Rattus norvegicus: one gene and its partners. The protein of the gene in region 1 purifies or fractionates together with the protein of each later gene. This does not show direct contact. Links are inferred from orthologs where the notes say so. Each region holds a gene or a part of one and is shown on either strand. Other genes may lie near its edges. The genes, in order: Map3k5, Arrb1, Daxx and Map2k3.

What was found.
Region 2: the proteins of Map3k5 (region 1) and Arrb1 purify together in Homo sapiens (affinity purification with western blotting; 3 studies listed by BioGRID and IntAct, with this or other methods). This does not show direct contact. The link is inferred for Rattus norvegicus from reciprocal best matches to the Homo sapiens genes MAP3K5 and ARRB1.
Region 3: the proteins of Map3k5 (region 1) and Daxx purify together in Homo sapiens (affinity purification with western blotting; 7 studies listed by BioGRID and IntAct, with this or other methods). This does not show direct contact. The link is inferred for Rattus norvegicus from reciprocal best matches to the Homo sapiens genes MAP3K5 and DAXX.
Region 4: the proteins of Map3k5 (region 1) and Map2k3 purify together in Homo sapiens (co-immunoprecipitation; 4 studies listed by BioGRID and IntAct, with this or other methods). This does not show direct contact. The link is inferred for Rattus norvegicus from reciprocal best matches to the Homo sapiens genes MAP3K5 and MAP2K3.

What each region holds. Positions count from the first base shown.
Region 1 is NC_086019.1:16,503,324-16,511,393, reverse strand, and holds the start of Map3k5 (mitogen-activated protein kinase kinase kinase 5), read right to left. Parts: upstream 5,431-8,070; coding exon 4,962-5,430; intron 1-4,961. UniProt on the Homo sapiens protein: Serine/threonine kinase which acts as an essential component of the MAP kinase signal transduction pathway. Plays an important role in the cascades of cellular responses evoked by changes in the environment.
Region 2 is NC_086019.1:163,247,244-163,255,300, forward strand, and holds the start of Arrb1 (beta-arrestin-1), read left to right. Parts: upstream 1-2,972; 5' UTR 2,973-3,004; coding exon 3,005-3,024; intron 3,025-8,057. UniProt on the Homo sapiens protein: Functions in regulating agonist-mediated G-protein coupled receptor (GPCR) signaling by mediating both receptor desensitization and resensitization processes.
Region 3 is NC_086038.1:4,970,115-4,977,224, reverse strand, and holds the end of Daxx (death domain-associated protein 6), read left to right. Parts: intron 1-107; exon of another isoform or gene 108-348; intron 349-441; 5' UTR 442-457; coding exon 458-664; intron 665-1,263; coding exon 1,264-2,089; intron 2,090-2,185; coding exon 2,186-2,394; intron 2,395-2,609; coding exon 2,610-2,802; intron 2,803-2,962; coding exon 2,963-3,437; intron 3,438-3,553; coding exon 3,554-3,776; intron 3,777-4,876; coding exon of another isoform or gene 4,877-4,960; exon of another isoform or gene 4,961-5,028; coding exon 5,029-5,088; 3' UTR 5,089-5,252; downstream 5,253-7,110. Other genes in the region: Zbtb22 (zinc finger and BTB domain-containing protein 22), read left to right, coding at 6,592-7,110. UniProt on the Homo sapiens protein: Transcription corepressor known to repress transcriptional potential of several sumoylated transcription factors. Down-regulates basal and activated transcription.
Region 4 is NC_086028.1:46,104,727-46,112,642, forward strand, and holds the start of Map2k3 (dual specificity mitogen-activated protein kinase kinase 3), read left to right. Parts: upstream 1-2,912; 5' UTR 2,913-3,074; coding exon 3,075-3,123; intron 3,124-7,916. UniProt on the Homo sapiens protein: Dual specificity kinase. Is activated by cytokines and environmental stress in vivo. Catalyzes the concomitant phosphorylation of a threonine and a tyrosine residue in the MAP kinase p38.

The DNA of each region.
Region 1 (8,070 bases):
CCATCCTGCCCATCCCTTCCCATCTAATTCTTTTAGTCTAAAAGTATCTTTCCTTTTTAAGAACATTATATTAAGTCTTTCTTTCTTTATGTTATAATATCCTTAATTAGAGAAATAGAGTGTTGGCAAACACATTTCCATTTCAGTTCTCTTGAGTTTTTTGGGATTTTTGCTTTTGCTTTTGTTTTTTTTTTTAAACTGGTTCATGGGAACGACCAGTGCATTAAGAATATACACTTCATCACTCCATCCTCTTCCTCAAAGCACAGGACGATCCTTACAGCCTGAGTCCGAGCTGGACTTGAAAGCAGAAATGCAGAAGTCAGCAGCAGCAAGACTTTCAAGGACTCAGTCTAGGGCAGACAGGTAAAGAAAGGATCATGTTTTATTTTGCCTAAGAACACTGGAAGTCCTAAGGAGGTGGGGCAGAGGCAAATGAGGCAAAACAGAGGCTCGTCAGACGCCCCCCTGGCTAAGCCACACAAGGGCTGCTCTCAGCACAAACTCCACTCCATTGAAAGCACAACACCACGGATGAAAACTTCAACTAGCACACACTTCCTTCCGGCTCCCCACTACTGCCGCCGCCGCCTCGTGAAAGACGGAGTCAGAGATTGTAATCTGCAGTGAGTCAGCCTAAGAGGAAGGCCCCAAAGATGCAATAATGACTGGTGGCAAGGTAAGGGGAAGTGGGCAGTCCATCTAACCCAGTGCCCACCGAGAGGAAGGTAGGTGGCTTTGAGCCAAGGGAGGTCCCTAAGCCTTACACCAGCAGGCCATGAGAAGGCAAGGCTAGGGAGAAAGCTGAGAGAAGCTCCTCCCGCCAATGCCCAAGACGCAGCCAAGTGTACTGGTGTACACTGAAAAGTGTATCGAGAGCCCAGTGTAAGGGGATCGGAAACATTTCCTGAATGCTCAAAGTAGTGAATGGGTTCCACATGTTTGGGCTACCGAGGCTTCCCTACAGGTGACCTCCAGGACCTGCGGCTACCTGTAACAGCTGATTCTGTGGAAAGATGTGAAGCTCACCTTAAAATCTCACGTTGAGGGGCTGGGGACTTAGCTCAGTGGTAGAGCGCTTACCTAGGAAGCGCAAGGCCCTGGGTTCGGTCCCCAGCTCCGAAAAAAAAAAAAGAACCAAAAAAAAAAAAAAAAATCTCACGTTGACCTGAAGGAATACACAGAACTGTGGTCCGGCGTTCTCACGGGGCAAAGTACAGAGATAACGGAGACCGCTCCGGCAATGCACACAGAGCCAGTGCCCACTAAGTAGAACTGGGAACGACGCTCGGTCGGAAGAGTGCTCGTCAATCCCCTGTGCTACCCCAGCACCTGAGAGATAGAAGCTAGAGGTGTGGACGTCCACGGTCATGCTCCACTGCATTAACCCCACAGAGGCAGTACCTTACACCATCAGAAAGCACCTGTGGCCTTTGCAGACTGTCACTGCCTACCATGCGTGGGGCTTGGGGCAGGTGCGTGGTTTGGCTGGCTATCTGCCGCCTCTGAGTGACACTCTCTTATGTGTAAAGCCGTAAGCATCTTTAAGATGCATAAATATTTCTCATACCGGCATCAACTAAGCATGAATCAGCTCTACCTGACAGAATAGGAAAGCAGCACACATCGTCAAAAGACAAGCCAAGGTAAATAATAATGAAGTCCTAATTCAGGGAACACTTTGACTCCGATGTGTTCTCCAGAAGACACCGGTACACAGAGTAGCAGACGTTCTCACAATACCAGCACTCTTCATTCTGTCGTTCGCTCTAAGCTGGACCACTTGGGCTCTGATCTTCCTTTCATGGCTTTCATGGCTCTGGGCTGCAGCCAGGGGCAGAGCTCCTGTCTGGCGCGCACAAGGCATCGGGGTGGGATTCCTAGCACTGGAGAAGAAATAACTCAACAAGCCCCAGATTGGGCTGTTCTTGCTTACTCTCCCATCTGGCTTCTCTGGTCACCTTTAAAAGGCTACCCTGAGTGCTAGAAATCTCTGGCTTCTGCGGGGGACCCTCACAGGCTCTGTGACAGTCGAGTCACAGGTTCCCACCCTTCCTCCCCACTCTGACCTCCTCGGGACCGAGGACAGGCCCTAAAGGAGCACTTAAGATTCTCCATGAAGTACACTGAGTCATTTGTAGTAATAACGCTGACATTTTTAAAGAACAGACCGCTCCAGCCATCATCTACTCCTCTAAAAGTATGAATTGAGTCACTCGGTATTGCAGAAGAGACTGAACCAGGAGACAGACCCCAAAATCTTGTTACGGTATCCACGCTTTCTCACTTTTCACAAATCCATACAGGATTCAGGGGCAACCTCAGACACGTGATGCTGCTCTCCCTCCACTTCTGCCCTGGTGAACTTCTCAGATAAAGAAGCTCTACTGAAAGGCAAAAAAAAAAAAAAAAAAAAAAGCTATTCTCACGAGAATATGACCCAGAGCAGAACTGGGCAAACACTCAGCTCCACCAGGAGGGGCCATGCCCTTCCAACTGTATCACAGGGATTCAATCCAGGTGAGGTAAGAAAGTAGAGAAAGAGCCAGGCCCAGGGACCTGCCGCTAATTCGCCTAGCCAACCTTCAGGTGAACACCGTTTACCCGTAGTTTTATTATCTACGGTCACACTCTCTTGCTTGCTTGATTCCGTTTTTGTTTCCGAAAAAGAGGTCCCATTGTGTGGCTCGGTGTGGCCTTTGAGTCACTAACTAGCTCAGGACTGACCTCAAACGATCAACGGTACAATCATCTCTTTAGAGAATGTTTGCAGCAGTTCTCACAGCAGAGTTGGAAACCTGTGACAAAAACCTGAAAGACTTCAGAGTCTCGGATACTCAGCTATCTGGCCTCTGACGGGAAACAAAACAAAACAGTTGACAAGCTGTTGATCAACAGTTGACTAGCAGTTGGCGGAAGGAGAGCGATCTCTCTCTAAGACAACAGGGGAGAACCCAAGTAGGCCTACTACCAAAAGCCCAGTCAATGCCTTCAGTTTAGAAAGACGAAAGGTTGGGGAGAACTGGCACCATCTTCATTCCATCACAGCATCACGCTGAATAAGATCTCTTCTAGCTGGGCAGAGATTAGACTCGGGCCTTAATATGTTGAAAGATCCAGTGGGTTGGGAGGATGGCCACCAATGGGGGAGTCCCCAAGAGCACATCCTCTCCACTGTTCCTCCACTGCACCTCAGTGTCTCTGAAGATCTTTGCCCGCTCTTGATCCTGGGATCTGAAATCAGAGTACTTCCCCTGATTCTAAAAGCAAAGACACCCTGCCCAAAGGCAGTCAAGGCCCCTGCGATCTTTTTAATATCAGCCCTGTGCACTGGACAGTTACTGCCTACGAATCCCAGGGCCAGTCTCATCTAATAAGTAAATATTACTCTTGCCCTAGGCCTGGTCCCAGGGCTAAGTGAGATAGAGTTCAAATGTCTGCTCGCCTCTAACGCTTCTCCCTTTCCCAGCGATGGTATTTGGAGAGTAACAGAGGACAGCCTTGTTAGGAAACTTTCCTTCATATTAGCTAAGGGTTTAAGTTTTTTTTTTTTTCCCGGGGCTCCTAGGAAAAATAAGCCCACTCTATCATTGCAATAAAAATAAGCTCAAGTTTTAATTTGGCTTTTTCCCCCTCTCCTATCATTTGGTTCTTTGAAGATTCTTCCAAATTATAATCCAAAAATAAGAGTGCTATAATTTTTAGAAAAGCTATGTTTATTTAACTTTTATAGCTAGCCACCCCAAGAACCAAGCTATAATATTTTATATTCATGTTCAGTTATGAAGACCCAGACTGTTTAAAAAAAAAAATACCCAAACCAGAGAGTCTTAGTTTATTTAGTCTGGCTTCCTTAACATGAAGTTCTTCTTGTTCTTAAAATATTCAGCTCTGGCTGAATTCCAAAGCAGACATAAGCCTACTTCAGGTGTTTTTGAAGAGGCTGTAAGAGAATTAGATTGAAATATAAAACCCGTGATCACAAATGTTAAGAAGCTTACTGTATTTGAAGAATGGAACCAGGTTTCCCACCACAATTATAAAAATTAACACGTCTGTTTACTTGATCCCATTGGATCTCAGTAGCACGCTACCATTCCCAACATTTGCTAACAGACAGCTAATTGGTTCAGTCATTAGGACTCTCTAACAGTTTTGAAATCTGAAATGGACTAAATGGGGAGCCATCCCTCCCCATGTGGATTACTTTAGCAATCACTTTAATGGCCAACCGAATCGGTCATTAAAATTGCATAGGAACTCTTTAAATGATGTTAAACTATAAACTCTTCCACCCACCACAGTATCTGAGGTAATAAAAAAAAAACTGGTTCTTTTGGCAAGACTCTAACAAAGATCACACACATTTGGTGTGTTTTCACAGTACTTTTACTCTAACATGTAGTTATTTGACAGTTTAAAGTGGTAACGAGGACGGGAAACTGAAGCCACCAAAACTCCAAGGTGAAATGAGTTGGGGAAGGTCACGCTACGCTTTGAAAGCTCAAAGGAAACCCTGCCGCATGCTGGCGTTTCTGTACTCCCAAGACTGCACGGCGAACAGAACATCACCTCAGAGGGCCACAGGTGTGTGCAAAAGGAAACCCTAACTATACACTCACTAACTGAAGAGAAGTGACTGAAGAAGTTATTCGCAATGGGGGGGGGGGGGGTGTTTGAGCCTTGCACTTAGACTCAGGGGCTTCACTGCCGGATAGCGAATAAATCAGCGGACCTCCTGCCCAAATACAGCCTCTTGCACCAGCACACCCTCTGCTAGGAGCAGCCGGCCTGAACAGTCCTGCAACCCCTCTCGCCGCTCCCAAGGTGGGGCGTGATGTAAATAGGAAGCTTGCTTCCCGCCCACGAAAAACAAAACAAAACAAAATATTCTCCCAGCCCCACCCCCACGAAGACAGCCAGGGGAAACCCGGTGGGCACCGCAAGGAGCTGCCACTCACCAGCGTTGTAAAAACGGTCCAGCACGGTGGTTTCCCCAAAGTCCAGCTTCCCGAAATGCAGGGTCTCCAGGGTGGCGCCCACCGCCTCGCACGCCTCCCGCAGGCTCTGCAGGGCCTCGCTCTCCGCCACCACCAGCTGCCCCTGGCTCGCCTCGTTGATCACATACGCCACGGTGGTACGCCGGCCGCCCCCGCTGCCAGAGTTGCCCCGGCCTCGGGTGGCGCTGCTCCCGGGGGCGGTGGTAGGGCAGCTGGTGCCAGGAGCCGCCGCGCTCTCCACGTTCCAGAAACTGCCCGGCGGTGGTGGCGGCGGCGGCATAAGCAAGGGCTGCAGGCTCGGCTCGCCCTCCGCCGCCGTCGCCGCTCCTCCTCCCCTCCGGCAGCTGCCGCCCTCCGGGATGGGGCAGAAACCCGCGGACAAAATGGGCGGCACGGAGAAAGTGATGCCCTCGCCGGCTTCGGTGCCCATCTCTACCTGCCGAGCTGCCACGGCGGCGACCCCGGGGTCTCCAGTCCTGACGCACCGTCTGGCCAGCCACAGCTCCGGGCTGCTCCGAGCGCGCCGGGCTAGGCAGCTGCCATCGCGCGCCGCGCCTTCGCCGCCCCGCCGCCGCCTCCGCTCGGGCGCCCGGTCCCCCGGGGCCACGCCGCTGCCCGGCGGCGGCTCGCCCCTCCTCGGCGCCTCCGTGGCCACGCCGCTCGCCCGCTGCAGGGTGGAGAGTCCACGGGGTGGGGACGCCGGCCGCGGCGAGCGGGAAGGGATAGAGCTTCCTCCTCTTGGCGGGCGGACCAGTCGGCGGCCAACCTGCGCAGCCCGGCGGCTCAAGGGCGCCGCGCTGGGGGAGCCGCAAGCTGTCGCTTGCCGAGCGCCGGCCGGGCGAGGGCGCCCTCTGGGTGCTGCGCTACCTGGAGAACACCTTACGCGCGGTGGGCGGGCTGCCCCGGGGCCGCGTCCCGGAACCGCGGTGGCCGCTCCCGAAAGGACCCGCCTCTCAGCTCCGCCGCAGCTCCCTTGCACCGACTCGGTCTCCTCCTTCCTTCCCTTCCTCTTTCACCGGCTCGCCGCGCCCTCCGAGTCCCAGCGACTGTCTCGCAGCCGCCCGTCCTCTCGGCTACCCGCCTCTGGCCGCCCACTCGTTGCTGCACGGAGAGCCAGGGCCCGCCCCTGGGGAGGGAGCTGCTGGGAAGCTGCAGCCTGGACCGAACCCACTGCTCCGGGACCTCAGAGAACCGGGAAAGAAGGCTGAAGCTCCGCGCGCGCCCCGCTGCGGGACGGCGCGAAAGAAGCGTCTCTAACCCGCACGGTCTGGGTCAGCCCGCCAGGCGTTTGCAGCGCTGGGCTCAGCCACGGCGCCTCGCCCGCACGGGTCGGCTGGTGGGCAGCGCGCACTCGGACCGCGCGTGGCGCTGGAAGCCCCGTGGCTACACGCGTGCCGAGAAGCGGGAGGATCCAACAATCGTCCTACAGCCCAGGCCTTAAGTGGAAAGTGGTTTATAAGTGACAGGGGCGCTAAATTTAGAAGTGGTTGGCTAAATTTATCGTGGCAGCCGCTGGTACTTTTCATTGTAAAATTTCCAGTTGCTTACGCTGTTGTCGTTAATGAGTAATTGATTGGCTCCAGGGTGCTGAATGATTTAATATTCTCATATAGCATCCTAAAGACACCCCTCCCGCAAAATGCCACATACCCAAGATAGGAAATACATGGGGAAATTATCATCCAAAGTTGAGACAGTGAAGTCGATCTATTTCATTTTTAAAAACTGAACCACACACAGAAGAAACGGGTGGGTTGTTTGAATGTAAAGAAAAAGGCTCGCGCTTATTTTGGAAGCAAAACCAGATGTGCGAATTCCCAGAGAACTCTGTCGGAATGCTGCAGGTCGTTTTAGGAAAACCAAAGCAAGCTGCACTACGTAAAGGATTTGGATTGCCTAACTTGAGGTTAGTAAGACATAAAAGAGGCAAAATGCAAATTGATGTCAAGCTCCCCCAACGCCTTACTTAACACAGCATTAAGTAAGGGGAATCTGGAGGGAAGGGACACAGTCAGACCAGAGCAATGCCTAATTCTTAAATTTGTTACAGCATTTTATTGATAGTTTCCAAATTATAACGTCCTTTTTTAATAACTTTATTGTACTCCCAAGCAAACTGGAAGCCTGGGAGACTCGTCTGTCCCTCCAATACCTTTAAAACCGTCACCAAGTCCATTTTCTAGTGAATGGCATGGTAACATCCGGACATCACCAGGCTGTTTTACGTGTGCTTCTTAAATTTCCCTGTTTAGATGAGTCTGGAAGGAAAAACAAAAAAAAAAAAAAAACACCGAGAGTCAACACAAGGACCCCATTACACCAGGCAAATTTTATACCTATTAAGAATGGAACTGAGTGCTTAATACATATTAGGGCAAGTATTTTACAACATAGGAATGCAACTAACTTCAGGATTAGGATTCAGAAATCTAAAAGGAATGGGACTGGAGAAATGGCTCTGTGTTTCTGAGGAGAACACTGACTACTCTTCCAGAGGTCCTGAGTTCAATTCCCAGCAACCACATGGTGGCTCACAGCCATCTGTAATAGGACCCTATGGCCTCTTCTGGTGTGTCTGAAGAGATCGACAGTGTATTCACATACAGAAAATAAATAAATCTTTTTTAAAAAAAATTCTAAAGGGAAAAAGTTATAAAATCAATTAACAAAATCTTTCCATGGCAGATGTAGGGTAGACAAATAAAATGTTATCTGACACCAATATATCACAATCATGAGTTTCTAAAAATAGGGAAAAGATAAAAAGAATTTCTATTTTAAGATGTGTTTTATTTGTCTGCCTGCAGGCATTTGCATGTGAGTGCAGGTGAACTTCAAGAGTAGTGGGTGTCAGTTCCCCTGGAGCTGGAGTTACAGGTGGTTGTGAACAGCTCGATGTGGGTGCTGGGAACTAAATTCTGATCGTGCACAAGAGTAGTATGGATTCTTAACTAATGAGCCATCACTCCTGCCCCGAAAAAGGGTCTTTAGAAAGAAACATAAAGTCATATACAATTCATGATCATGGGACTATAAGCGACTCTTGCCTGTGTAAAACGAAATTCTCCTC
Region 2 (8,057 bases), about 150 Mb from region 1:
TTGGCTTCCTGTGTACCTCACCCCTAACCGAGAGACATGTGTCATCTGACTGCCGCCTGCCTTAACTGCAACCACTCTGCCTGTTTACCAAGCCCAGACACACCCTCTTGGTTCCTTGCTGGTCCTTTGGCTGGCAGCCCTTCGAGTCACTGGCTTCTTGGTGCAGGTTTCTGCCCAAAGGTCACCTCTTTGAAGAATCTTATCTAAGGACATTAGTCCCAGCCACTATGTTTTATCTTTCATGACACTTATTACTAAAACCGGATTGTTGACATGGAGTTCTCATGACCTCTACTGCAGTTTTATTAATCTTGATCATTGAGTGAATATATGAGTGCTTTCCTTAGGCCTGACAGATGAAAGTGCCCCCTTAAGGACCCCTCTGCCCCCCATTCTAGACCCCTCTCTCCACTGAAAGCTCTGTCCTGCTTGACACCGCTCTGTAAATCCCCCAGAATCACAACTGGCATAAGAAACAATTAAACAACAACAACAATAATAAAACAATAACAACAACAGCAGTGGCAGCAACAAAAAACAGCCAAATTCTGGCTCTGGGTTTGCTTTCTGTTGAGGAAAGCTGGGGAAAAGAGAGGCCAAGGTCAAGAAGAGGCTGTGGGGGACTGGAGAGACGGCTTGGCTGGTTAAGAGCACCAGCTGCTCTTCCAAAGGTCCTGAGTTCAATTCCCAGCAACCATGTGGTGGCTTAAAGCTCTCTCCAGGGAGTTCTGATGCCCTCTTCTTACATGCAGGTATAGATGCAGATAAAGCACTCATATAAATAAAATTAAAAAAAGAAAAAAGCAGGAGGCTGCGGATTTGGGCAAGCCAGTTTAGCTTCTCCAAGCACCAGTTTGGTTATTCATTTTAGAAAAGGTAACAGAGCATTTAGCTCATAGAGTTGCAAGTGCCAAGTAGCACCAGGCACACCACCCACCCTCATGGGGTTTACAGGCTACAGAGGATGCACTTGACACCTTGTGTGTTGATACCACCATCTACCAATCTGTTCAGTGTTCCTCGGTGTTAGAGCCATGCTTTCCAAAGCTGGTCCAGGAAGAGCTGCGTGGAGGCGGGGGCTACCTGGAGCCATCTGGTGCATCTTTCTGGGCTGTTTGTTTACTGAGAAGTAATCGAAAACATTGTTTGTTATAATAACATAACCACAGATACTTACTAAGTAGAATGAAGAGTTTGCCTGAATGTGCATTGAGCATCTGGGCTCTGTACTGAGACCATCAGGCTTGCATGAAGCCTGTGTGGAGAATATAAGACCAGGCCTCTTGATGTTGAGCTCACAAAGTGATCTTCTTGCTATCAACAGAGGATCCTATTCTGTTCCTTTCAAGATCCCCCCACAACCCCTTGCAGAAGGATCTGGTAGCTTCCTGTTCTGCCCTGGTTGGAGCAAGGGAAGATCCCAGAGGCTAAGAAAGGGCAGGTGAAGTTACAGACCGTAATCCATTTTCACTTAGCTCTTACCATTGCCCAGATGTGGACCACCCTGCCTATCCATTAGCCTCTACCCACCCCTCCCCAATCTGGACATAATTATAGTCGTTATCCTGGGATATTATTACCAACTCTATAAACAGCACACTCTATGTAAACAGCATAGGTAACTCTTCTGAACATAATTACAGGAGATGTTTCCAGACCCGCAATTGCATCAGAGTAAATGATAGCTTCCTTTCCTATCGTTAATACTCCGATATTAGGGACCTATCAGTGCCAATTAGTCAAACCCCAGCAGCAAGCGGCTGAGAAAGACCTTACATTCTCCCACTTCCTGCAAAGCAAGAAGGAACCCCTTAAGATCCCTTCCAGGAGAAAATGGATTAAAATCCAGAACCCTTTCCTACCCCTCCTTAGCCTCTGGACTCCACCCTCCCACTGCACACCTGCTACTTCCACAGGGGTAGGAAACTTGGGGAAAGTCAAGATTTCAAGGATAGCAAGAAAGCTGCAGACAGTAAGCTCTGCTGGACACCACTGTGTGCAGGTGCCTGCCGGCAAGAACAAGTGAATTCCTTCACCTATAGAACAGGGCATCTGCTGGTCTTAGGACCCAGCCAGTAGATCTGGAATGGGCTGAGATGGCTGATGTCTAGAGTCATTGCAGGCAAGTAAACTAGGCCTGGGTGCTAGCAATGATGCTGGATGCTCCGGTCACCAGCTAGTTGGCTCTTGGTCCCTGCTTTATCTTCTGTTCTCACAGCTTCCTCTTTCTGCCTGCCCCTCCCCTCCTCTTTCCACTCTCATCTGCTCTCCAGCATTGCAGTCCGCTGCCCGCCCCCACCCCTTCTTCCTGTCCCCGCTGTGCCGTTGGGTGGTATCTCTCCAGAAGGGCGGGGGCGGGGAGGGTGGAGCAAAGGGCGAAGGCCTGGCTAGGCTTTTGGAATCTTTTGCTGTGTTCACACACAGGGGCGCCGCTGAGGCTGGGCCTTGGAGTCTGCGGATTTTCCGCTTGCATCTATCCGCAGACACAAAGGCCAGTCCTGGCTTGCGCGGGAGAGCGCGCTTGCACCCACGATTGTGAGCACACACGCACAACTGCACAAAGACGTGCTATCTCTGCACACACACACACACACACACATACACACACACACAATCTCTCTCTCTACCCCTCCCCCCTTCTCCCGACAGGCTCGCGCGCACAGCCGTGCACACGCACCAGCACTGGCACGCGCTTGCGTGCACGCACTCTCGTGGACCAGCCGCGGCCGGCCACCCAGCCCTCACTCTCTGGGCGCGCACACGCAGAGCGGCGCACGGAGCCACACACGCGCGCTCACACCCGCACGCTCCACGCCCCTGGCGGCGGCCGGGGCGCTGTGCTGCTCGAGCGACGGGCGGGGACCCGGGCGGGGGCGGCGGCGGCGACAGCGGAGGAGGCGGAGCGGGGTAGCCGGGAGCGGGCTGGCCCGCGCTTCTCCTGGCGGCCGGGGATTTTCCAGCCTGGACGCTGACGCCGCGGACCTCCCTGCGGCCGCCGCGGACCATGGGCGACAAAGGGACACGGTGAGTGCGGGTGGCCGCCCTGTCCCGCGTGCGCGTGGGGACGACCTGGGCGAGGGCACGGGCGGAGGTTCCAATCAGCGTCACCCGGGATCTGGCACTCTGTTGTCCGCCCAAGTCTCTTGTGTGGTCTCTGGCCAGAACCATGTGTAAGGACGGAGGCACCCAGGATGGGCCACCCCACTTGGTTCAAGGCTCCTGGCCGAGACGAGCTCACACAACCAGCCCTGGCTGGTCGGTAGACTCGAGGACGTTCTGGGGCAGGCTGACACACGACACACACACTCATAAACACATGAACACCCTTCTGCTGGCACACACTGACAGTCGCTGCCACACTTCGCATTTGTGACACGACAACGTCACACGCGGTCTCTCACGCACACACTAGTCTGCCAACACATTCCTGCTGTCAGTACTGTTAGCATACACAGGTCCCACTGGAACACGCACCAGCTCTAACACACCTCGTGTTGCCACGCACATCTGGGCATACACCAACATACGTATCCTGTCACCTGGATGCTGCAAAGCACGGTCTGGCTAGTGCTTGCAGTCTGTCAACCCTCTCTGAAATGACACGATGCAGCCACAGGTCTTAGTGACACATCAAGGCCAATCACGCACATGCACAGCAGAAAATGCCTGCAGGGCCTGACATCTCTAGGGCAGTGGATACACTTCACTTCTGACTCCCCATGGCCAGACCAGAAACACAGGTCAGAGTGGGAGACTTTGAGACCTGGAAGGCAGGTCCCATTCACATGCTTTCCTTCCCCTCTGACCTCCAAAGCACATAGCTAGGGGCTACATCTAGCTGGGGATGGTGGTGGTGAGGGAAACTGTTTTTGTAGATCCTGCCTTGAAAGGAAAGGTTAGGCCCTCGAAATGGAAACTAGGTCAAAGTAGGAAGGCTAGGGAGGGGCAGGGAAGCTCTTGGGGTCAATCCTTATGACCTAGACCAGCCCTAGTCAACTTAGAGTTTACCTTCCTGGCCCTTGAGAGTCTCCTTGCCGCCCTTCCTGGCCCCTCCTCTAGTCTTCCTGCACCTGCTTTTTATCACTGCTTTCCTTATTACTCTTATGTTTGTGTTCTTCTCTCTGCCTTCACTTCCTTTCCTCTGATATTTATTTATTAAGCCCCTGTTGTATACTAGGCATAGCCTCGGTGATGAGAGATGATCAGAAAGGAAGCATCCCTGCAGTCACATGTTGGGGCCCTTAAACAAACTGGTTTTTTGCCCACTGACCCCAGAGCCTTTCAGCAGTGAGTGAAAGGGGCTACAGAGGTTATTCCCATTTCCCAGGAGTAGAAATTGAGGCATAGTGCTAACTCAGATTCCTCATGTTTAGAAACTACCTCCCACCAGCCTCCCTATTGATGGCCCTTCCTGGAGGTTAATTTTCCTATTCTGGTTTCCCCAAAGAGGAACTGAAGGGTGAGAAAGGTCACTTGCCTTGCTGAAGGTCAGGAAGGGGCAGAGGCCACAGCCCACTGTATCTTGTGGCTCTCCTTGGGGCCCTGGGTGTAAAGACTAGCAAGGGACTCACTTGGTGCAGAGGCACAGCTTTGGGAGACTGCGGACAGCCATGAGGTGTTTGCATTCACCTTGAGGGCCAATGCAGCTGGCTGGTCAGCATCGTGACCCAGGCTTCAGTCCTTGGAGGAAAGATGCTTGGATGCATCTCTCTTCAGCCACACCCATCCCCCTCCCCGCTTTGAGACTCTCTGGAACTGTAAGGTTGAGCTTTGCTCCCTGTGAGGCACGGCAGGGAGTCAGCAGCCACTGACTTCTCCTTTGTTCTCCAGTGCTGCTGGTGACCAGGGTGACTCAGCCATGCTGGGCCTCTCTGTAACTAGGGGAGAAGTGTCACAGATTCCTGATACCTTGAATTGTCATAGGAGGAGGACACTCTGGCTGCCAGACACCTGTTGGAGAATCCTGAGGCCACAGCTTTGTCCTTGACTCCCCTGCTGTGCTTCTAACTCAAGGGCAGACCCAGTATTCCCATCTGTACATTGGAGCCATTAGAACTTTGGTTTTCATGGCTCCCAAAAGCTTACTGAGCTCACTGGACATAGGAGTAGGAGTTGCCTATGCCAGGAAATACAGACTAGCTACACAAACTCCACCTGTCCGTGTTTGCCTCCCCTCCCTGGGCCCCTCTAGAGCCATGAATTCTGCCTTTCTCTTTCTAGATCTGTCTGGATATGAAAGGTAAGAAGCTTTCTCCATTGTGTTACATTGGCCATGAGATTTTGCTTTGAGACCTGGAAGGGACATTGCAAATACTCAATACTCTTAGGCTCTGGAGTCATCACATCTATTCCTGTCGGTTGGAGGAAGTGATAATGAACGTTAATCAAAACTGTCACTGCCCTTGCAGAAACCCCTGGGTTGAGAGGAGGCCCAGGGCAGAGCAAGCTAGCACCAACAGGGGTCCAATGAGCACAGGTCATGAAAGAGTGGCTTCTTTGTAGCCTGGGGCAGGAGTTCCCAGAGCTGAATCCCCAGACTATCCATTCCCAGGTGATGGTGGTACACGACACAATCACTTTGGGAGGTGGAAGAGGCATCCACACCAGAGCTGAGCTGGATGTGACCCGAAACTGTTCTGGGTAGTCAAAGCAGCTGAGATTGACCTAGAAGCTTGAGGAGGCTGAGCAGTGGAACTGCAACCAGTGCCCTGCCAGCCCAGGGTGCAGAATGTACAAGGACCGGGAGGTGGGAAGAGAAGCCTGGGGGTGGGGCCTGCGAGAGGAACACAGGCCAGTCATCCCCAGCCCTGGGAAGGTCAGGCTAAGGCAACAGGATTTTTCTTCCATTGCCAGGATCAGCTGGGAGAAGAGGGTGGAGAATGGAGGACAAGAACAAGTCTTCCTCTCAGACAGGTGCTTAAGACAGTGGCCAGCAGAGGGAGGAGCTGGCCTTGAGGCAGAGACACTCTAGGAAGGAGCCTCAGAACCAAGGCCGTGGCTCAGAACTAAGGCTGATCAATAGCATATGATCAAGGAAGTGGGGGTCAGCAAGCTAGATGGCTGAATGCATCTCTGCTGCCTCTCTGGGCTTAGAATTATGTTCACAGGGGCTGGGGAGATGACTCCAGTAAAATGCTTGCTGCCTAAGCCTGAGGCCATGAATTAGCATCTTCAGACCCCACATAAAAAGTTGAGCATAGTGGGCTCTAACCCTACTGCTGGGGGTGGGGATAAAGGGAAAGGAGGGAAAGGGATGTGCAGACAGGCATGTTTCTGGAGCTCTCTGGCCAGCCAGTCTAGCACTCACAGTGAGAGATTCTGTCTCAAAACATAGAGAGCGTTGGAAGAAGATACCTGATAGTAACTTTTGCCCTCTATATGTGCATGAACATGCATGTGCATGCACATCAGCACACATACAAGAAGTGTATGCATAGTCTCACTGGATTCTTTCCGCAATTTAGCAGCATAGGAATTGCTGTTCCCATTTTTTTTTAAAATATTTATTTATTTATATATAAGCACACTGTAGCTGTCTTCAGACACACCAGAAGAGGGCATCAGATCTCATTACAGATGGTTGTGAGCCACCATGTGGTTGCTGGGATTTGAACTGAGGACCTCTGGAAGAGCAGTCAGTGCTCTTAACCACTGAGCCATCTCTCCAGCCCTGCTGTTCCCATTTTAAAGGTATGGAAAGAGGAGGCAAGTCTACCACCGTTCAGCCAGTTAGCATCTGAACAAAGGTCCCTCTGCCCATCAAGGCCTCTCTGTTGCTGTATAAGTCTACTCAGAGGGAAAGGGGCTTGTCCTATCTACAGCTGACCTTTCAACTGCTCCCAGCTGGTCCTCCAACTCTAAAAGTGACCAGGGTCATCTTGAGGCAACTGGAGGGATGGAGTGGAATTTCCTTTGCAGCAGATGTTGATGAACTCTCTCTCTCTCTCTCTCTCTCTCTCTCTCACACACACACACACACACACACACACACACACACACACACACACACACACACACACTATACACCCCTCTTCCCCACAGCCCCATCTCAGGGACGGAGGATGCTGTAATGAGGCAATCACCAGCTCTCTGTGAACCTTGGCTGTCTTTCTTGAAGTGGTTAAGCCCTGGGTGACCCATCTTGGCTAGAACATGGGGAAGTCCTGTGGCTTTGGCAAGATTGCTCCTGGGTTGCTGCTGGGCGTGGCTGTGAGCCTGGCCTAGTGTCCCTGAATCCCAGCTGGCTGCTGGGCTGCAGACTCCTTTGATGGCTTGTTTCCTTTCAAGTCTGGACCTCCTAGCCAGAGACTGAAACCTCTAGTTGGCATGGGGTCAGGGGTCCTTAGTTCTGGACTTGCCCCCCTCAGGACCTTTCCCACGGGCTGTGTGTTGGTCAAGACAGCAACAGGGAGGGTCAGAGTGGCCTCATGACCTCAACCAGGCTATCCTCTCTACTGCTTACAGGGGTGACAGCTGAGACCCGTGTGGGTGGCAGGGGAACCAGGGTGGCAGAGGAGCCAGGACTGGGCTGAGGAAAATGGAAGAAGCTTTGACAAAGGACCTCAAGCTAGGGACAGAGGGGCAGATGGGGACTCGAAAGTCTTCTAGATGGACGCAGGTCTACACAGGGCCTTGAAGGATGTAGATGATCTTTGTTTAGGGAGAATGAGGAGAGAAGGGAAGATGGCAGGGATAGCAGAGCCTTGGAGAGCACTGGTGTGCTGGATAGAGAGGAGCAGCAGACAGCTGAGGACAGCTGGGTCTGGAGTCCCAGAAGCAGGGAAGCAGTAAAGAGGAATGGGGGAGGGGGGCAGATTGCAGGAAGATCCCCACATGTAGTCAGAAGGTGGAAATGGGAGTCTGGGGACTGGGTGGGGTGGTGAGGGTTCCTCTGAATACTGTAGGCAGAGGAAAAAGGGGTAGTCCCTGCGTTTTTGTGTGCCTCCAGGACCTTTGCTCTGCAAAGTGGCCACAGAGCCCATGACATCACTGAGGGCTTCCTGGAGGAGTCTAGGTCTCGTAGGATGGAAAAAAATCACACTGTGGCTGGCTAGGAC
Region 3 (7,110 bases), on another chromosome or scaffold:
GAGTGGAAGAGTTGGAGTTAGGAAGAAGTCGGAGGGGACTGTGATGATGGAGGGCGAGAGGTGGGCAAACCCATGTGGTGGTATCGACTGGGTGTTGGTTTCTGTAGACGGAGAGAGCAGTGTGGGATCTTATACCCCATCGGATTGGGAGTAGGAAGAAAAAACTCACCAGCTGACAAGAGAGTGGGGAAAACGCAACCGAAAGACAGGAAATTGACTGGGGGCTGAAATTTGGGACTTGAGACGATCGATGGGGAGGTTCCCCTTCAGAACTGCCTGAGACTGATAGTTGCAAAAGACAGGCTTTGAAGACATCTCAGAAAGGACGAGGCTATTGTGAACCCTGAGGTATCTGACTGAGTGGGACTAAGGAGGAGGGGCTTTTCCTGAGTCACCCTTTCCCTTCCAGAATTCTGACCTTTCAAATACTTTTTCCCTCAGGGGGATTTGATCCCCCATGGCCACCGATGACAGCATCATTGTGCTTGACGATGATGATGAAGATGAAGCAGCTGCTCAGCCAGGACCCTCCAACCCAGCCTCTAATCCTGTCTCACCAGGACCAGAAGCCTCTGGTCCCTCTGAGTCCCATGGGGATGGAGGGAGCAGTAACTCAGGTAGCAGGAAGTGCTACAAGTTGGAGAATGAGAAGCTGTTTGAAGAGGTAAGCTTCAGGGAAGGCTCCCTTTCCTTTAAGAGAAGGGTCTCGCTTTGTGGCCCTGGTTGCCTGGAACTGTCTAGATGAGGCTGGCCTTGAACTCACAGAGTTCTACTTGCCTTTGCCTCCTGACAGCTGGGATTCAAGATGTGAATCACTGGGCTGGAGAGACAGCTCAGTGGTTAAGAGCACTGACTACCCTTCTAGAGGTATCGAGTTCAAATCCCAGAAACCACATAGTAGCTCACAACCATCTGTAATGGGATCTGATGCCCTCTTCTGGCGTCTGAAGACAGCTACAGTGTACTCATATATAGAATACATCTTTTTAAGAAAAGGATGTGGGGGTTGGGGATTTAGCTCAGTGGTAGAGTGCTTGCCTAGGAAGCGCAAGGCCCTGGGTTCGGTCCCCAGCTCCGAAAAAAAGAACCAAAAAAAAAAAAAAAGAAAAAAAGAAAAGGATGTGAACCATTATGATGTGATTGGGCAGATCCCAAGGAAAGGGGTGTTTGATTGGCTGATTGTTCTGGCTTCCTCACTGATTCCCTCTTTTTTTTTTTTTTTTGGTTTTTTGGTTTTCCCGTCCCTTCCCCCGAACCGTTTAGTTCCTTGAACTGTGTAAGATGCAGACATCGGACCACCCTGAGGTGGTTCCGTTCCTCCACAAACTGCAGCAGCGTGCTCAGTCCGCTTTTCTGGCCTCTGCAGAGTTCCGCAACATCCTCTCCAGGGTTCTGTCTCGGTCTCGGAACCGGCCAGCGAAGCTCTACGTCTACATTAACGAGCTCTGCACTGTCCTTAAAGCTCATTCCATCAAGAAGAAGTTGAACTTAGCTCCCGCAGCCTCAGCGGAATCATCGGGTGATAACCCTCCCACAGATCCCCCGTCTGACCTTACAAACACCGAAACCACTGCCTCTGAGGCCTCAAGGACTCGAGGCTCCCGGAGGCAGATCCAGCGCTTGGAGCAGCTGCTGGCACTGTATGTCGCAGAGATACAGCGGCTGCAGGAAAAGGAGTTGGATCTGTCAGAACTGGATGATCCCGACTCCTCCTATTTGCAGGAGGCCCGCTTGAAGCGGAAACTGATCCGCCTCTTTGGGCGGCTGTGCGAGTTGAAGGACTGCTCTTCTCTGACTGGGAGGGTCATAGAGCAGCGAATTCCTTACCGAGGCACTCGATACCCAGAGGTCAACAGGCGCATCGAGCGGCTCATCAACAAGCCGGGGCCTGACACGTTTCCGGACTATGGAGATGTGCTGAGAGCGGTGGAGAAGGCGGCGACCCGGCACAGTCTGGGCCTTCCCAGACAGCAGCTTCAGCTCCTGGCTCAGGATGCCTTCCGGGATGTGGGTGTCAGGTTACAGGAGCGCCGCCACCTGGATCTCATCTATAACTTTGGCTGCCACCTCACAGATGACTATAGGCCAGGTAGGAAGCTCCTGGGATGATTTCAGGTGGAACAGAGGCAGCTCTAATCCCTTCTAGGATTGGGACTGACTGCTCTGACCCTGTTTCCCCACACAGGCGTTGACCCCGCACTCACCGATCCCACATTGGCTCGCCGCCTTCGGGAGAATCGAACCTTGGCCATGAGCCGGCTGGATGAGGTCATCTCCAAGTATGCCATGATGCAAGACAAGAGTGAGGAGGGGGAGAGACAGAAGAGACGGGCCCGGCTCTTAGCCACTTCCCAATCTTCAGACCTCCCCAAAGCCTCCTCGGATTCCGGTGAGGTATGGAAGGGTTGTCATCTGTCAGAGAAATCTTGTCTGCACCCTGCACTGCCACCAGGGACCCCCTGGTGACTCCTGGAGCAGCGTATGGAAGCAGGGAAAGAAGATTAGTGACGTGCTTGGGTAGCACTAGTAAGGTCCCAGAGTCAAGTCCTCATACTACCAAAAACCTGTGTGGCAAGGGATTCCTTAAGAGGGACTCCTCTTTCCCCCAGGGTCCTAGTGGAGTGGCATCCCAGGAGGACCCTACTACCCCCAAGGCTGAGACCGAGGATGAGGAAGACGATGAGGAAAGTGATGATGAAGAGGAGGAAGAGGAAGAGGAGGAGGAGGAGGCCACCGAAGATGAAGATGAGGATTTAGAACAGTTGCAGGAGGATCAGGATGATGAAGAGGAGGAGGAAGGAGGTATATGCATAACCGGAGCGCCCCTGTGGTAGAGGTTCTGCTCTGTCCGACATGACCTCCTTGTTGATCCTGTCCTTCCTCCTCCTCCCTGCACAGCCCCCCGACCCCTGTTCCTCTCTCCACCCCTGTTCCTCATTCCACCCCCCCTTTTCTTTTCCAGATAATGAAGACGATAAAAGTCCCACATCCCCTTCGCCCATTTTCCGCAGAAGGAACTCAGCACCCACAGAAGGGCTCAGGTCCCCGGAGGAGCAGCAGGAGAGAGGACTGACGGGGACGCCAGCATCCCCGCTGGAAGCATCCCCGGGCCTTCCCAGCACCGATGCTGAAAGCAGCGGCGAGCAGCTCCAGGAGCGGCTCCTGGCAGGAGAGAGTCCCGTGTCCCAGCTTTCTGAGCTAGACATGGAAGCTCTGCCTGAGGAGACCATCCCTTCCCCTGAGGAAAGGGGCATTTCCTCTTCCAGGAGAAAGTCAGACAGTTCCCTCCCCACCATCTTGGAAAATGGGGCAGCTATGGTTACCTCTACGTCCTTCAATGGGCGTGTCTCTTCTCACCCTTGTCGAGATGCCAGTCCCCCAAGCAAGAGATTTCGGAAGGAAAAGAAGCAACTGGGACCTGGGCCGTTAGAAAACAGGTAACGTCGGGTGAGGAAGAAGGCAGGCAAGGAGGCAGGATTCCCTGAAGGGAACCTGGTGTCCTAGGTCTCCCTGCGGCCTCAGGCCCCTTCTGTCATTTCTCTTCTGTCCTTAGCTATGTAAAAAAGCAGACGATGGCACAGCAGGACAGTGGGTGGAAGATAAGTGTCCTGTCTACTCCGTCCTCCCCCTTGGCCTCTGTGGGTCCTGTTGCTGATTCCTCCACGAGGGTGGACTCTCCCAGCCATGAGCTGGTAACCAGCTCCCTGTGCAACCCTTCTCCATCCCTGATACTCCAGACTCCCCAGTCTCAGTCTCCCCGGCCTTGTATTTATAAGGTAAGCTGGGGGGGGTTCCCCTGTCAGTTCATTTTCACCTTCTCACTCTCTGTGGGGGCTGCACCTCCTCTTTTTTCCCCCATTCGCCAGTGGGTAGTGCGTGCATGTGTGTACAGTGACAGTTTTGGAATTTTGGTTTCTTAAAACTCAGAGCTGGATAGTGGTGACACATGCCTTTGATCCTGGGAGGCAGAGGCAGGAGGATCTCTTGAGTTTGAGGCCAGCCCGGTTTACAAAGTGAGTTCTAGGACAGCCAGGGCTACACAGATAAACTGTGTCTAAACCCCAAAACCAACCAAAAACAGTGAAAGAGCTGGCTTTCATTTTAATCCCCAGTGTGGGGATGTGGGGCTGCTCCCAACTGATCACTGTGGCTGAATGTGACTCACTTTGAGCTCAGCAGAGCTGTGGCTTTGCCAGCTACAGGCAGTTGCTTTGGTTGTGTGAACATGATGGTTAGGAATTGTGGAACTTTTCAAGAGAGCGTAGAAATGGTAGACACCACCCCACCACCACCCCACCTCCTCCAAGAGGCATGGTGTGAGCTCAGGGGTTGGTTGTGGTATGTTAGTCTTGCTCAAAGAAGAGAGAAATTAGATTCAGAGATCCCTATCTCTCCCCTCTATCCTTCTTTCCTATCTAGTGATGGGGTAGATAAAGGGGAGGAAAAAACCCACAAAGTCTCAAAGACTGACTGTCTATGTGTGTTTAGATGTATTTTGCCCGGCATAGTGGTTTATTCCTGTAGCCCCAGCATCCAGGTGGCAGAGGCATACAGATGTCTATAACTTGAGTGCCACAGTCTAGTCTACTGAATGAGCTCCAGGACAGTCAGGGTTACATAGGCCGTGTAAAACAAAAAGTGATTTATTGTATGTAACTAGGTGTTCTGTTGGTATGTATGTGTGTTACATTTGTGTCTGGTGCTCATGGAGGCCAGAAGAGGGCGCCTGATCCTCTAGATCTGGAGTTACAGAGACAGCACTAAGTAGCCATGTGAGTCTTGGATACAGAACACAGGTCTCCTGCAGAGCAGCAGTGTGTCTAGTGGCCAAGCCATCTTCAGCCTTCCATCCTGCTTTGTTTTGTTTTTGAGACAGGGTCTCTATGTATCCGACTGTTCCAGAACTCTGTATATAACAAGGCTGGCCCCAGTCTCAGAGATGCCTGCCTCTGCCTCCTGAGTGCTGGAACTAAAGGCGTGGGCCATCATGCCTGGTTCACCCTTCCTTCTCTCCTGACTTGTCTGCAGACGAGTGTGGCCACCCAGTGCGATCCCGAGGAGATCATCGTGCTCTCAGACTCTGATTAGCAGTCCCTGCATCCAGAAGGGTTTCTAATGGCTGTTAGAAGATGACGGAGCAAATGATGGACAGAGCTCCTCCCGTTTTGGTGGTGTTTCTTTTGACAAAAAATCAGATGTTTTAAGTTTTACACAGACACATTAATAAACAATGAATTTCTTTTCTTATTGTATTCTTTTCTTAAATTGTCTTTCTCCTATGACAGCTGTCACCTGGATCTGCCCTTTCTAGCCTGGACCTCTTTTTAGGGTGCCCTCATCCTTACCCTTCTTTGAGCCTCCCTCTAGGCACTTGGAAAGATAAGTGCTTCAGAAGCCTTCTTAAGCCGCTTTACTTTCTTATTTTGAGCGGTATGAGTGAAAAGGCCAATCAGGGGCTGACTCAAGGTTATTTGACCAATCCTGGCCCGGAGGAAGAGGGCGGGGCTTCAGGGGTTCTGTCATACGCTGGGAAAAGGGCTGTTAGATCCCGCGAGCGAGCTAATGTCCAGGGCTCGGGGTGGAGCCTGAGGAGCGGAAGCCAGTACTGGTCAATGGGAAAAGGTAGGCTTGCAGGATTAAAGGGGAGCGAAGGCTTCGGCCAAATCAATTCCTGAGTCCTTAGCCGCAGATGGGACCCGGTACCTTTAAGGAGGAATGAAGAGCCGGTCCTTTAAAGGGAAAGTGTTGGTGTCGGTCGAATTTTCCCCAGCGGCACAGGAGGGGTGCTGTCCTGCGCCTTTAAGGTCGCTGGTCGGGGAGGAGGAGTGGAGGCGGAGGGCGGAGGGAGTCGGCACAAGATGGCGGCGGGAGGGGCTGGGGCTGCGGCTCTGGTCGCCGAGTGAGGGGGGGCCCGGGGGCGCGCGGCCAGGTAAGCGGGGGCGCGCGGGGCTGGGGGCCCCCTCAGGCCGGGGGACAGTCCAAGGACGCGATTGGGGAGGAGTGGGGGGCGGGGTTCGGGGGGCGGGGGCAAACACGAGGCGGGGTCGGGGATCTAGGGGGCGGAGCCCTGGAGGGTCCTGAAGGGGCGGAGTCGGGGAATTAACTGGGGGCTGTCGGGGGAGGAGCTTGAAAACTGTGGAGGACACCCCTTCGCCCCAAGAAAATTGGTACGTAACACCAAGGAGAGGCGGTTTTTTTTTTTTTTTTTTTTTTAAGTGAGGCTCGGGGGCAGCTGTAGACAAGGATAGACACCCATTCCCTGAGAGCCCCCTATTTTCTGACCTAGGAAAGAGTACTAAACTTGGAGTTGGAATACTTTCTCTGCTAGCGCTGAGGTTTGATTTGATGTCGTTTGGTAGGTGTACTTGGATGTTTTTCTTGATTAATTCTGGGCCTCAGTTGCCCCATCTGTCCCATGGGGTTGAGAGGTGTACCTATTTATCTCAGTGATTTTTCTTTTTTTTTATACTGTGATGGTCTATGTCTTTTCAAAATGCTGTATTATTCTCTTTTTTTTCCCCCTAGAGACCCCCCCGGCCGCCCTCTTCTTTCCTTTGTTCCTGTGGCTGGGGGGGTATCTCCTTCCACAACATGGAGCCATCTCCTATGTCACCCAGTGGGGCCACACTCCCACTGCCTCTGTCACTGGCTCCACCACCACTGCCTCTGCCGGCAGCTGCAGTGGTACACGTGTCCTTCCCTGAGGTGACCAGTGCCCTCCTGGAGTCCCTCAACCAGCAGCGGCTCCAGGGTCAGCTCTGCGATGTGTCTATCCGCGTGCAGGGACGGGAGTTCCGTGCTCACAGGGCCGTCTTGGCTGCCTCCTCTCCTTACTTCCACGACCAGGTCCTACTCAAAGGCATGACTTCCATCTCACTGCCCAGCGTCATGGACCCAGGCGCTTTTGAGACTGTCCTGGCCTCAGCGTACACGGGCCGCCTCAGCATGGCTGCTGCGGACATTGTCAACTTCCTCACAGTGGGGTCGGTCCTCCAGATGTGGCACATTGTGGATAAGTGCACTGAACTCCTTCGGGAGGGTCGATCTTCAGCCGCTACTACCACTGTCACTGCTGTTGCAGCCCCCTCTGTCTCTGTCCCTTGTGCCAGT
Region 4 (7,916 bases), on another chromosome or scaffold:
TTCGTGAAAATGTGCACCTCCTTGGGAAGCGTGTGCTCCAAGTGTTCAGTGAGCACCTACTGTGCACCTTGGAGGCCAGTAGCCAAGTGTGGTGCAGCTCCCTACAGCTTGCCTCAGCAGGAGTTTGCATGAAGGACTAACATACAGTAGGTAGGGCTGTAAAAGTGGCACTTGCTATTGTACAGGTAGTGTCATGTTACACGTATGGAATTATCATGCAATGTTTCAAAATGGTGGCCACTTAATTTAAATACAGCAGGTGAAAAAATTCTTACTAAGAGGTAAGTATCCCCTGTGTTGTTTCACATGGCAGAGAAAGGAGGGTAGGAAGGCATCAGATGAAGAAAGGGAAGGACATTCCTGGCTGAGGGAACAGCCTTTGAAAAGACAGGATCAAGAAGGAAAGCTTGGTTTTGAAGTGTCTGATATGTCAACAGGGCCAGAAGGTTGGAAATTCCTACCTAGGGAACCAGGAAAGGTCTGAACTTGGCCAGCCCCATTAGGAAAGCTCTTTGCAGCATTGTGGAGCATCTGCAGCAATTAGCATGGAGGTGAGAAAGGTGGATAGCAGGAAAGCACAGATGGTATCAGTTTATCCCGAGCCAGGCACCCACACAGCACAGCCACGATAGTCACTTGAAGGCACCCACACCAGGTCAGCAAGCCTCGGAGGCTCTGCAGATGGCAGGGCACTGCACACACAATCAGGGCTGTGCATGACCGCTGTGCCTGTCAACAGGCCTGCCTCTGTGCAGCCATGCTAAATGCATACAAACACTGTGCATCTCATGGGAATTCATGTGTGCTTGGGGTGTATGACCAGTGCAAGGGGTGAAGATTAACAGCATTTGGAAGGGCTGCATCTAAGAGAGTCTCTCACCTCTGATCGTACCAGCGGTGACACTAGCTTGGGGTTTTCTCCCTGTCTTGGAAATGCTTATCCTTTGTTTTTGTTTCTTCAAGTCTCTGCTTCTGTGGCACCTTTAGGGAGGCTCTTCCTGAATGCTGTCACTACAATCACACTCCCACCTCTGGACACACTGCCTCTTTCCTTTTTCCCCCACAGCATTTGTCAACCCGAGACACACTATCATTTAACCTAGGTTGGAAGTCCATTCCTTTCTGAGAGCAGAGTTGTATCTGTTTTGTTCATTGTTGATCCTAATGAGTGAGTTGCTCCCCCAAACCCCAGGTGTGGATCACCCCCTTTCTTCAACTCACAGTCACATGCTAACACTGAGCCCTTCCCATTTCAAACTTCAGTTTTCCATAGAGGGGGTTTGCTCTCCTGGGAGTCAGGGTAAGAGGCAGCTTTCTGGGATCTGAGTCTAATGCTCTGGCCAGTGTCTAGGTGGTCATGTACTCCCCCGGCCTAACTGTGCCACTTAGGGACAGGAGGGTAGCAGATGTTGCCAAAGGTGATCAGAAAGAAAAAAGTTTGGTGGCTTTCCGTCATGCCCCTCATTCTAGCAGCTGACCGGCTTGCAGGTGTAGCCTAACCTGGCTTCCTGAGCAGATTTCCACTCCCTGGGCTGACCTTTCCGTTTCTTCCAAGGATGGTTTCTGACCTCTCTTCCTGGCTACTAGTCCATGAAGGTCACCTTCCCTGACCCCACCCAGGTGAGGTAGGGCCTCTTCTTAGGACTCTTGTATCTATTTATAGCACCCCAATGGAGTCTGTGATCCCTGGGCTGTTTGTCAAGTTCTCTGACTAACCCATTAAACTCCTCCTGTTTTGAGGGCCTTGTCTGAGTCACCCTGGTGCCTGGGAGGCTGGCACGGGACTAGAGTCACTTTACCCATGTCTGTGGCATGCTTTTCCTACTTCCTTTGTTCATTCCTTGAATAGTTCTTAGGCACCTACTATGTGCATGGCTCTGGGCTAAGCCTTGGGATACAGCAGGGGATGAGACATTCAGGATTCTTAATGGGGAGGGGCAGGTGACACGGGAAGAGGACTATAGTAGAAACCAAATATGCAAGCAAGGCATTCGGGGCCTGAGTGTTGGCCAGAGAGCTAAGACTTACTCGAGCTCTCGAGCTCTGACTGACTACTTGACTTTGTGCTTCTTGCCTTCACTAGACCTAGGTTTCTAACTGACCCCAGAGATTTCTGGCTAGTGTGAGGACAGAGGTTCAGCGACCAACTGCCGAGATGGAACCCCAGTCAAGGCTGGCCAAAGGTATTTCAATGTTTGGAATGACACTTTGTTTAATCTGAGACTATCCGGGGGCCCAGGACGTAGAGCTGCTATAATGTTACAACCAAAACAGTTACTTTGTCACTAGGCAAAGGTTAGCCACTGAATTCCCTGCTCCCTAGGTGCTGGCGTGCCAAGTGCTCTCAGAGACTGGACTTAAACGCGTGCTCGTTCAGCAAGGTGCAGTAAACTCTTTCCCACAGTCGGTGAACACTCACCTGGCACGCGCCCGCCGTGGGATCGCTCTTTTCCTGCTGCCCTAGGAGGCAAGCCGGTGGTCGCCGCTCTCTTCAGGGGAGCACATGGACGCTCACCCTCGGTATGGCTCAGCCATTTAGGAGTCCAGTCTCACTCAGGGAGCACTTTTAACCCCACCGAGTGCATCGGCCTGGCTCCGCACTCTAGAGAGTTTGGGATTTTCCAGATTACGACCGGCACACGCTGCGCCGTAGGGGGGCACAGGCTGGGGCACCCAGGACCACGCCAGCACAATCCCGCGAGTGGGTAGGGCTGTCATCTTGATGGCAAGAGGGCGGAGCCGGGCTGGACTAGAAAAGTGGGGGTTTGGATTCCGGCTGTTGGATGGTGGGGTTTGTACGTGACAGTCCGGGCGGTGTTTGATAGGCTGGGGCCTTTTCAGGCGGGCCAATCAGTACGATGGGCGGGGCCTACGTGGCGCCGTCGGTAGGCGTCCGGCGCTGCCCAGTGTGGCTGTGGCGCCGCCCGCCTCGGACGCTTGGAACTGTCGCGTCTGTGTCGCCTGTCGCCCATCGCCTGCCGCCGCTGCCAGCCACCAGCAACCATGAGCGCGCCCGGCCCCGGTGTAGTCTGCTGTCCTCTAGATTAGTGCTCTCCTCCGCGACGGTCCGCAGCATGGAGTCGCCCGCCGCCAGCCCGCCGGCCAGCTTGCCTCAGACCAAAGGTAGGCTCTCCCGCCCTACCGCGCGGCCCGAGCCACATTCAATTTGAGCCCGCCCGTGCCCCTGGACTCCTTTCCCGGCTGGGCACAGGCACCCGGACTCCAGCCCAGGACTGGGTCCAGCCCAAGCCAAGCCCGGGACCTCACGGGACCTCATTGGAATTCGGATCTTAGGCCGTGGGATTTCACCCAGGCAGGACCTTGTTCTCCTTACTCCACTCCAAGTCTGGAGCCGCACCGTGAGCTTCTTTCTTGTCCAGGCTTCCGGGCTTCATCCTGGACTCAGCTGGGATTTCTGTGATCCCTGCTAGAGGGTCTTTCGGCTGCACTAACCCCCTCAGGCCAGACTCTTGGATTTTGTTCAGGCTGGAATTTACTCTCTTCTGGGCCCCAGGGCTGTGTTCCCAATGCAGGAAACCTGTCTACTCTTGAATTCAGAACTCCTCTCTTCCAACTCTTTCCATCCTTGTGAGTCCTCCTTTGCCCCATGCCTTGCTGGCCTGCACACTGGCCGCCTGCACTCCTCCCTACCGCTGTACCTGTAGAACTTCCTGGCGTCTCCACTTCGCAGCTCAGCCCATGCTACCTGCTACTTGTTGACTCAGTTGCAATCTTCTCACTGAGTTTTAGGAGCTGACCTCTTTTTTGCACCTAGTGTTTCTTAGTCTGTTGCTCTTAGACCTGCAGTTTGGTCCTTGGGCAAACAGCAGGCCAGGGGCTGACTGTACAAGGCTTGGGCTTGTCTTCTCCAAGTAACTAACTGTCTTTCCTGGAAATTTCTGTGAGGTGGCAGTAGAGCTGCGTGGGCTGCAGCAGCAGCATTTGTCATGGGAAGTGAGGGGGACAAGATTTGGAGGTCAGAAAGCTTTTTTTTTTTTTCCAGGAAGAGAGAAGGATGTTTTAACATGTCAGAGACTCAGTAGGTTGGGCTGCAGAAAAGAGTTCCAAGCTGGACTGTAGATGTGAATGGGTTGACCCTCTGCATCCTGGGCTGCCTCACCTGGCTAGTTTCTGGACATGTCTAGGCCTTATTAATGAAATGGATATCAGGGGTGCGATGTGAGATTGAAGGTAGAGTGATTTGAAGCAAGCATGTCTGAGATGATCAAGGGCCCAACATAGCACCCGGCACATAGTAGGTACCCAGGGGAAAAATAGTTGCTGCACATCCTTGACTGTTTCCAGCTTTCTCAGCCCTGTGGGGTCTGGGCTCAGATTTGGATTGCAGGGGCAGAGCACAGAGGACAGGAATGGTGGGCACTTAAGAGGGTGCTTGTGCAGTGGTAGCCTTCTCTCCTTCTGACTTAGGAAACCTTGACCTCAGGAGTCCTAGTCCTGGTCAGGTTGTCCTGAGCAGGTGGGGGCTTTTTGGGTCCCCTGCAGCTGGCCGCCATGGCTGTGCAGGAGCCTAGTGGGCGGGGTAATTGCGTCTTACATAAGTGGGAGGCCAGATCCCTGACCATTGCCCAACTTCTGTGAGTAACTAGGGAGGCACTTATTGGGGGAGGTGGCTGGGGAGGGACTTGCAGTGCAGACCTCGTGGAACTTGAGAACCAGGAAATCAGATGCTGCTCCACTCAGGAAGGGTTTGGAAGCAGTGTTTGTTTTGGAGGCATTTCAGCTCTTCCAGGCAAAGAGATGCCTCATCAAAATAAAAGTTGCAGTTGCAAATCACAGGGGGAGAGATTGTGAGTGACATTGCAAAGCACTGTGCAGGGAGACGGTGGACTTTTCATGTGCTCGATTGACTTGAGGCCTGGCACTGGATGCCCGGGGCCTCTCTTCTGAGAGGGCTAGTGTGAATTTGCAGGTTGTAGGTTAGGTAACATGATATTGGATGGATTGGGCGGAGGTCCTTTCCAAGGCCCAAGATCCCTGTAGCCTTTTAGGGGTTTGGAGATAGCTGTAGTGAGGGACTGACAATATCCACTTGCTAAAGTTCCAAGAGCTTTTCCTTTTCTTTTTGCCATTGCTTTGTTTGTTACTCATTTGCCTGTGAACAGAGGCTCAGGAACACTAACCATTTACAGAGGCTACACAGCTATGATGGCCCAGCAGAGCTACAGCAGGACTCAATGATGATCTCCCCAGTGTTCCTTCCATTCCCATTCCCATGTGAGGTGCTTAGGGGGTCCATGGGACACTGGTACCCTGGCCCCCTGGCCATCACCCCTATGTTCACTGGACCATGGAGTCTGCTGAAGCAGAGGACCACTTATTGTGCACGCAGTCTTACAAGTGGACACTTCCCTCAATGTGAGCCTGCAACAGATGCAAAGTGGAGAACTTGGCGAGTCCACACCATTATGGATCCTGACAGGAACTCTTTTCCACCTTTGCAGGCGACTTAATTAAAAAAAAATCACACACACACACACACACACACACACACACACACACACACACATGCATACATACATGCCACAGCATAGCACATGTATGGGGTCAGTATACTTTGTGGGTGTCAGTTCTCTCAGTTCAGCCATGTGGATTAGCCCTCCATCATGTGGGTTTCAGGAATGGAACTTAGGTTGTCCAGGCTTGACAGTAAGTACTCTTACCTGCTGGGCCATCTTGCTAGCCTGTTTGCAGAGGACTTTGAACAGAGTAGGGAGTGGTAGCACCTGACCTTTGGCGGGGACTGCAACTTTATCTATGAACTTCCCACTGGACGGTTGTGCCTGCTGTTTGTGCCCGAGCCTAGGAAGTTCTCCCACATGTGTGAGGCATGTAGGTCCCACAACTTGGTTGGCTTCTCTTGTCTCCTTGCTCATTAGTGGGTCACTGCCTGCCATCTGAGGCCAAGGGCAGCTAGTACAGGGGCACATGTAGTCAGGGTGATCTGGGTTTGCATGACATGTTTGTCCTTGTACATATTGTCAGGGATGGCCTTTGGCATTCTACTGGAGGTGTCACCTCTGGAGCTCATTGGTGGCTGGTGTCTCTGGCAGCCCGGGGAAGCTGGGGAGCACTGAATGTCTTGTCCTGGTCCTGCCTGCTATGGTTAGAGCTTTCCTCCTGTCCTGGGAGTTGGAAAGACTAGAGGGTGGCACCTTGGGGACTTCCCCCAGTCCTGGTGTGACGCACAGGAAACTCTCTATCAGCCAGCCTGTGGCTCAGGGCCTGAAGGCAGTAAAGTTCCCAGTCAGCCTGTGTGGGGAGAGGCAGCCAGGCTTCCGGTGGGTGAGTCAGCAGGCGCTGTATGCTGACTCACCACAGGCATGCCAGTCACTGCCTATAGCTTAAAGGGGCAATGCCAGGCAGGGGTTACATACCTCCACCTGTAGGCTGCCCCTGTCCTGGGCTGGATACCACAGGTGGTCTGCTCTGGACTTTCCGTTAAGCTGGGATTCTGGGCAGATCCTCCTGTCCTGTCCAGGAACTTCCTCTGTTAGGTAAACGACTCTTGCTTCCTCTTGCTCACCACATAAGAGCTGTTGTTGACTGCCCCTGGCCCAGGGAACAAGACCTGGTGAAAGCCAGGAGCAGTGGCCTTGCAGGGTCAGCTAGCTTGAACTGCCTAGGGTCAGATCCCTACTTTGCCCATTTTGCAATGTAACGTTGAACAAATTGTATCCAGTACAGTCTTGATACTTTGTATAGGTTTCAGTCCTGTGAGTATGGGGCATCTTTCAGAGAAGAAGCCGAAATGCGCCCCCTCCAACCCCAGCCTAACCCCCAGCAAAATGAGCATGGGTGTGTTGCCTGTTTGGATGCAGATGGTCTTTATCCAGTGAATAGGTGTCAGGTTCTGGGCATTGTAGCTATGTTATAATGGGCCTAGGATCCCATCCTGGCTCTTACTTCCTCATCTGGTCAAATGGCATATCCTCTTTGACTCTCAGTCCTGTTCTGGGCAGTGGGAGGAAGCACCTCTTCCCTGCAGGGTGGTAGTAAAGATGGGAGATAGTGTTTCCCAAACAAATGGCATCTGTCATTATTTAATTGTTGGGATTGTGGCTGTTTCTCATTGGGAGGTGAATACATGGCCTCTGATGATGTACTCATGGGATTTGTGACACAAGGCTTCTTTGGTCAGAAAGCCACAGTTTGCCAGCCTCTAGGACAACCTTCCTAATGCTGCAACCCTTTAACATAGTTCCTTATGTTGTGGTGACCCCCGGCATCCAATTATTTTCATTGCTATTTCATAACTGCAGTTTTGCTACTGTTATGAATTGTAATGTAAATAAATATCTGTGTTTTCCAATGGTCTTAGGCAACCCTTGTGAAAGGATTGTTTGTCCCTAAAGGCGTCTCAGCCTCGGAAAGAGAGCTCTCGGCTCTCTTTCGCCTCTGCTTCCTAAGCTGTAAGCTACCATTGTTGCCTGAACCCCCTGAGGAAATCAAGAAGGGGAGCAGAGACCTGAGGTAGTTGGTCCTTTCTGCAGATCTGTCCCTGTCCCTCAGCTTTGTTGACTAGTGGCATTGAAAGCATAAGTGAGGGAAGCTTGGGAGATGTAGGGCCGGCCTGGGATAGAATCTCCTGGGCTAGTTTCTCAGGTGGTAGAATTTCATCCATGTCAGACCTGGTGCTAGCCTGGAGAGTGAGTGAATGAGTGAGTGGGCAGCAGGACTCAGGTGTGAATTTTCTTACACCTCCCCTTGGTTGTTTTTCCATGTTGCCCATATCTGTCAGGTCTCTGTGCCCAGCAGCCCCTGTAGATTTTTTTCTTCCCCCATTGCAGGTAAAGAGCAGAGACAATGGCAGCTTGCCCTGTCTTACTGGGGCACACAGACAATAAGCCTATGGGAGGGTCAACAGCTTCCTAGCCCTCCCTATCCTTTTCCCTGCC